Macaca fascicularis: one gene and its partner. The protein of the gene in region 1 purifies or fractionates together with the protein of each later gene. This does not show direct contact. Links are inferred from orthologs where the notes say so. Each region holds a gene or a part of one and is shown in the gene's direction. Other genes may lie near its edges.

Region 1 (3,815 bases):
CATATGGTGCCATCCCCCAAAGGGACAGGATAACAGGAGCTAACACTTGTTGCATGGTTACTACATGCTCAGCAATTTACACATTTCAGTTCATTCGATCCTCGAGTAACCCTAATCTGATCATGGTCGGTCCATAGCATAGAGGAGGGAACTGAGCACATAGTGGGTGACTCGTTTGCCCTGGCCCGTGTGTTGGGGGTGCTGGGCTTTACACACAGAATCTACCCTCTGAATCACAGTGTTGTTCTGGCTCCCCTGGAGTTTGCCTTCCAGCACATCCTCACACGTAGGAGTGATAATGGTCATTCACATTGGTAGAGCTCTTTAGAACTTTTCAAAACCATTTTACGTTGGTGAATTCATTTCATTGACAACCCTGGGGGTGGGGAGTGGGAGTGGTTAGGGAAACAGGGCAGGAGTTACCATCCCTGCTTACAGAGAGGGAAACTACTGTCCAAAGAGGTCCTGTGACCTGGTCCTCACGGCTCAGCTTGTAAGTAACAAGAGGCGGAATTAGAGCTCAGATCCCCAGACACCAGTTTAGAGATCTTTTCATTATGTGGCTCTTCTCCAACTCTGCGGCTTGGCAGTTCTCCAACTATAGGAAACACAATTGACCAAGATCCCAGCTGCACCCTCAAACCCACTGCTGTGATTGCAGCGAAGCTGCCCTACCCCGTGGCTGGCACAGCAGAAATACTAAGGCAGGCCAATTCCTGGGAGCCGTGGGACTCCTCTGATGGCTGACTTTGGCTCCAGAACCCCTTAGGGCCTTGCTGAAAATTCCTTAGGCTGCATGGCACCCAGGATGCTTCCACCCAACCTTCCCTCCCTCCCTCATTCACATGGGGTCAGACTTGCAACACGGTCTGCTGGTTCGCCCGGCCTTCCCTGGCTCCCTCCCCATTTCCTCTCATGGGCATTTCTTCTAATAAAATCTGCAGACCATCTTGGGTCTAATCCCGTCTCCAGTCTGCTTCTTGGAGGACCCAGACTAACATGACTCTGCCCTGTATAATACAAATAATTCTTTTCTGTGTTTGTGATTTTTAGCTTTACATTTACTTTAAATCATGTTTCAATTAAAGACACACCTTCACATCTAGAATCATTTTGTTAGTATTTCTAAGTGTGATGGAAAGGTTCAGAGCTCAGGGGTGGATATGGAGATCCAGGGAGGCTTCCTGTAGGAAGTGGCCTGTGTAGTGCTTCAAGGGCCAGGCTGCCTGGTCCAGGCCATGTTGCAGCTGACCATCCATCTGCAGTGTACCGCCGGAAGCACCAGGAGCTGCAAGCCATGCAGATGGAGCTGCAGAGCCCTGAGTACAAGCTGAGTAAGCTCCGCACCTCAACCATCATGACCGACTACAACCCCAACTACTGCTTTGCTGGCAAGACCTCCTCCATCAGTGACCTGAAGGAGGTGCCGCGGAAAAACATCACCCTCATTCGGTGAGCGCCCTGCTGCCATCCTGGGAGGAGAGGGGCTGCAGTCTAGGGGCTGAATGTTATCACAGCATCACAGACTCCTCCAGCCACAAAAGGTCAGCAGAGCCCTCCCTATGGGCACCCCCAGCCCTCCTAGGAGGACAAACCTTGACATTCAGGGCCATGTGTGTTGGTTTACACTAACTCCTATATGTTTATGGAGTTTATACAATGAGAGGAGAACCAGGGCTCTCCTCAAAATTCATTGAGGTATGCTCTCTCCAAGGCTTCCTGGCCCTGCTTCCCTCCAGGGGAGCAGGGGAGCAAAGGGCCCCTCCTCTGAGCATCTAGAGCAACTGTACCTTTCTCTGTCACTCACTGGCAATACTCCCCAGCCAGTACCCCCCGGCGATATGTCTGTCCTAAAGGAGCATGAGCCTCCCCGGGGAAAAGCCATGGTTCATACACCCCTGTGTCCCTGGCAAATATCAGACTCAGTAACTACTGACTGAATGAATAAACATTTGACCATTGTCATGAGTCCCTGGTTGGAATCCTTCTTACTGCATAGCACAGCCGTGTTGAGGGTGTTACTCCTGAGTGTGTACGTTATCCCCTGCCTCTTGTGTTTGTCCACTAAATGTGAGCCCCGGGCTCAGGAGCCCCAGCTGCCTCATTACTGTGGCCTGTTTGACTCTGTCTCATCTTGTATTCTCCTTTGCACAGGGGTCTGGGCCATGGCGCCTTTGGGGAGGTGTATGAAGGCCAGGTGTCCGGAGTGCCCAACGACCCAAGCCCCCTGCAAGTGGCTGTGAAGGTAAGAAGTGGCTCACTCTTGAGCCTGCCCTTGGCTTGCAGACTCTGTAGGCTGCGGCTGTCAGCTCACAGCCTCCTCCTCCTCCCCACCTTCCCCTTCTCTGCCCAGACGCTGCCTGAGGTGTGCTCAGAACAGGACGAACTGGATTTCCTCATGGAAGCCCTGATCATCAGGTAAGGCCACAGAGAGACACCCTCACCCCAAATCCCCACTGCCCCAAAGAACCTGGAGAGGTTTCTAACACATCGACGTCTCCAAGGGAAATGGTGTTGTCCCCAGCATGTCCCCTTTTCTCCAGTAGGAGACTCCCAAACATTCTAGACACTTCTTACCAGACTGGAACAACCCCTGGTGGTTGTTTCAGAAACAAAATCTGTGTGGCCTAATAATCCCACCGATGTCACGGTCTGCAACCAGTTCCCTGCTGTTCTCCATTGGTTCTTCTTCCCTCACTTTTTCTTAAGAAATGGAACATGCTAGACTTTGACAGTACAAGATACAATCTCCCTCCCAAACCCTTCACCAATCCCAGTAAATGTGCTCCGAATATGATGGAAGGCCACCCCATCCTAGGCTCCCATCAGCAGGGATGAGTCTCAGCTGGCTGTACCTTTTGACTTGAGGTTCCAGGGTCTGTATTTAAGCTGAGAGTCTCAGTGCCTGTGGCTCCTGAGGGCATCCACAGTGGCAGCAGATCCCCTCAAGGAGGAGGCAGATGTTTGACCTCAAGATCAGGTGGAGGCTCATGGCCCCCATCACACCAGGAAGTCTCTGAACGTCCTGACAGGTGGGGGCAGATTGGGATGTCCCCTTGGTGGAAGTGGCAGGGGTAACAAGGCCAGGCAGTGTGAGCGATATGGCTGTGAGGTCTGGAGTCACAGGAGAACACACAAAATAACATTTATTTTCTGATGATACATGTAATTCCTGATTATGAATAAAACTTGGCAAGTATGAGATTATATTGAAGAAGACCCAAATCGCTCCATCTCACTACTTGGTGGTAACTAACCATTATATGTTGGTGTCTAATCACCCAGTCTTTCAACACTTGGGGGGGGCGTGTACACGTATGTGTATGCACACACATGCATGCACATGTTGGCCCATGTGGAATTCCTAGGCCCCACTGCCTGTGTGTTCTAAAGGGATCATGTTAACAAGAAAACCCAAGTCTTGGTCCCCTCCATGAGGAATCCACAGGAAACTGATGGACTTATGAGGCCATCCCCTTTTCCTGGCTCTGTTTCACATGCCGTCACCTGGCAAGTCTCACCCAGTCTCTCTTAGAAGCAGTTGTTTTGCTTCACCTTCTGCCTGAGACCTTCCTGGGAGAAATCGACCATGAATTCTAGTGCCCAGTCCGTGCACCAGTATCTGAGAAAGACACCGTCCTGCCCCCGAGACACTTTCTCACCCAAGTGCCTGAGCAACATCCTCGCACCTCCAGCCCCTCTCCTGCAAACGGAACTCCTGTGGAGCCTGCTCTGGTTCTTCCCACCTGCTCACCAGCGAGATTCTGGGTTTAGGCTCAGCCCGGGACCCCTGCTGCCCCTATTTACAGAATGCA
Region 2 (3,351 bases), on another chromosome or scaffold:
AAGCCTTATCAGAGCTAGAAGGCAGTCATCTCATCTGTGCCCATTTTTACAAATAAGGAAACCACCCCGAAGAGGTTGTGAGGCCCAATGTCACATGGTTAAAGGCTAGACACTGCAAGTTTCCTTTCGTAAGAAGATCCAAGGGCTTCTCCAGCTCCTCAGACTCAGGAGTCAGACCACTGTGCTTTCTCTTATCTGCACTGCCTCACTGTTCTTCAAAACTTTCCTTGTTTAGCCAGGTGTGGTGGCTCATGCCTGTAATCGCAAGATTTTGGGAAGCTGAGGTGGGAGGATTGCTTGAGGCCAGGAGTTCTAGACCAGCCTAGGCAACATAGCAAGACCTTATCTCTAGAAAAATAAAAAAAACCAAAAAATTAGTCAGGAATGGTGACACATGCCTGTAGTCCTACCTACCCAGGAGGCTGAGGCCTGATGATTGCTTGAGCCCAGGAGTTTGAGGTTACAGTGAGCCATGACTGCACCATTGCACTCTAGCCTGGGTGACAGAGACCCTGTCTAGAAACAAACAAACTTTTGTCTGTTTTCTACAGCAATCTCAGCCTCCTTTCCTCTTTTTCTTTTCTTTTTTTTTTGAGATAGGGTTTTGCTTTGTCACCCAGGCTGGGGTGTGGTGGCATACCCGGCTAATTTTTGTATTTTTGTTGTTGTTGTTGAGATGGGGTTTCGCCATGTTGCTCAAGCTGTTCTTGAACTCCTGGGCTCAAGTGATCCGCCTCCCTTAGCCTCCCAGAGTGCTGGGATTGCAGGCATGAGCCACCATGCCCAGCCTCCACATCTTTTTTTTGCACTGTGTATACTCTTCTGAGACATGCCAACTTTTTCCACATCAAGAAAAGGGTATATAGCTCTCAGCTTCACTCTTTCAGGGCTGATGTCACCTTTGCCTTTTCCCACTTCACTGACCTGTCTATTCCTGCAACTGTCTCTTTCTAGAGAAACCTCAATTATCAGGACTGATAGGCCACACTCTCCCCTACCATTTTTTTCTCCTTCTTCAAGCCTCTTGTGTGTTTTACCCTCTTCCACCTTGGAGGCTGAGGTCTTATTTGACTCTTCACCTGAATTGACCTTCTTCCTTCCCACCCTCCCAGGTTCGGACTAAGGATCACCGCTTTGAGAGTGTCAGTCACCTCATCAGCTACCATATGGACAATCACTTGCCCATCATCTCTGCGGGCAGCGAACTGTGTCTACAGCAACCTGTGGAGCGGAAACTGTGATCTGCCCCAGAGCTCTCTTCCAGAAGATGCCCTCCAGTCCTTTCCACCCTATTCCCTAACTCTTGGGACCTCATTTGGGAGTGTTCTGTGGGCTTGGCCTTGTGTCAGAGCTGGGAGTAGTGTGGACTCTGGGTTTCATATCCAGCTGAGTGAGGGTTTGAGTCAGAAGCCTGGGGGAGAATCCTGCCTCTCCCCAAACATTGATCACCAAAGTATTAATGTACAGAGTGGCCCTTCACCTGGGCCTTTCCTGTGCCAACCTGATGCCCCTTCCCCAAGAAAGTGAGTGGTTGTCATGGAAAATGTCCTGTGGTGACAGGCCCAGTGGAACAGTCACCCTTTTGGGCAAGGGGGAACAAATCACACTTCTGTGCTTCAGGGTATCCCAGACCCTTCTCAACACCCCCACCCCACCATGTTTAAAACTTTGTGCCTTTGACCATCTCTTAGGTCTGATGATATTTTATGCAGAGTTCTTGGGCCCCTGAGTTCAATGACAGGGATGCCAACACCTTCTTGGCTTCTGGGACCTGTCTTCTTGCTCAGCACTCTTTCCGGTTTGGTTTGGGATAACAGAGGCAGGAGTGGCAGCTGTCCCCTCTCCCTGGGGATATGCAACCCTTAGAGATTGCCCCAGAGCCCCCCTCCCGGCCAGGGGGGAGATGGATCCCTCCCTTGCTCAGTGCCTCCTGGCCGGGGCCCCTCACCCCAAGGGGTCTGTATATACATTTCATAAGGCCTGCCCTCTCCCATGTTGCATGCCTATTGTACTCTACAGCCAAAGTGTAGCCCTTCCTGGAGCCTCTGCCCTGCCTCCCTTTCTGGCAGGGTGGGGTAGGGGTGACTGAATTTGGGCCTCTTGTACAGTTCACTCTCCCAGGTGGATTTTGTGGAGGTGGGAAAAAGGGCATTGAGACTCTTAAAGCAGTAGACAATCCCCAAATACCATCTGTAGAGTTGGAACTGCATTCTTTTAAAGTTTTATATGCATATATTTTAGGGCTGTAGACTTACTTTCCTATTTTGTTTTCCATGGCTTATTCTCGAGCACAAAATGGTAATCAATTATTACATTTATACATCACCTTTTTGACTTTTCCAAGCCCTTTTACAGCTGTTGGCATTTTCCTCGCCCAGGCCTGTGAGGTAACTGGGATCGCACCTTTTATACCAGACCTGAGGCAGATGAAATTTATTTCCATCTAGGACTAGAAAAACTTGGGTCTCTTACCGCGAGACTGAGAGGCAGAAGTCAGCTCGAATGCCTGTCAGTTTCATGGAGGGGAAACGCAAAACCTGCAGTTCCTGAGTACCTTCTACAGGCCCGGCCCAGCCTGGGCCCCTCTTTTGGCCTTGTGGATAAGGGACAGTTGACCGTTTTCATCCTGGACTCCTTTTGCTGTTGTTTGGATGTTTCCACGGGTCTCACTTATACCAAAGGGAAAACTCTTCATTAAAGTCCGTATTTCTTCTACCTCTGCCTCTTAATCCTGGGAAGCCTATTGTGTACGCCGCGGGCCCTTAGCTGCACAGCGGGGAGGCGGGAGGTCGCGGCCGCTGAGGGAAGCTGGGGGGTCTGCGGAGTTTGGGCGCGGCAGAGTGGGGCGTGTCGCGCCACCGTCCCCATGAAGATGTTGTGTCCGGGGGGCGGGGGCTGGCTCCGGGTGAGTCCAGGCAAGAACCGGGACTCCCCGGCGCCGCAACGCCGGCCCCCGGGACTACCTAGACCTCCCAGGCGCGCCCTCGGCTCGCGCGCGCCCCTCGGCGGTGGCTCCACCGCCCGGGATGGTACGGTCCGGCAGCAGGGCCGCGCGCCGCCGCCCCTCGGTGAGCTGGTGTGGGCCGCCGCTAGCGGAAACGACCCTCTCCACTCGCGTGGTGCAGTGGTAAGCCTCGCCCCTCGCCTGCCGCCTGTTTTCTGGCGTGGGGTCTCGTCCGGTCCTTGCTCCCCCTCCCCGCCGCGCTTAGTGGTGGTGGCCGCGCCGAGTTCCGGTTCCGGTTGCTGCAGCCGCTGGCTGGCGGCGAGTCTGGAGAGAGCGCGCAGTTCGCGCCGCGGCTGGGCGCTTCCCTGTCGTCCCACTTTGTGGTTGCTGCAGCTTGGGGGCCTGTG

Evidence for each region.
Region 2: the proteins of ALK (region 1) and SHC1 purify together in Homo sapiens (affinity purification with mass spectrometry; 3 studies listed by BioGRID and IntAct, with this or other methods). This does not show direct contact. The link is inferred for Macaca fascicularis from reciprocal best matches to the Homo sapiens genes ALK and SHC1.

What each region holds. Positions count from the first base shown.
Region 1 is NC_088387.1:92,988,324-92,992,138, forward strand, and holds part of ALK (ALK tyrosine kinase receptor), read left to right. Parts: intron 1-1,265; coding exon 1,266-1,452; intron 1,453-2,154; coding exon 2,155-2,245; intron 2,246-2,353; coding exon 2,354-2,418; intron 2,419-3,815. UniProt on the Homo sapiens protein: Neuronal receptor tyrosine kinase that is essentially and transiently expressed in specific regions of the central and peripheral nervous systems and plays an important role in the genesis and differentiation of the nervous system.
Region 2 is NC_088375.1:106,181,974-106,185,324, forward strand, and holds the end of SHC1 (SHC-transforming protein 1), read left to right. Parts: intron 1-1,112; coding exon 1,113-1,241; 3' UTR 1,242-2,715; downstream 2,716-3,351. UniProt on the Homo sapiens protein: Signaling adapter that couples activated growth factor receptors to signaling pathways. Participates in a signaling cascade initiated by activated KIT and KITLG/SCF.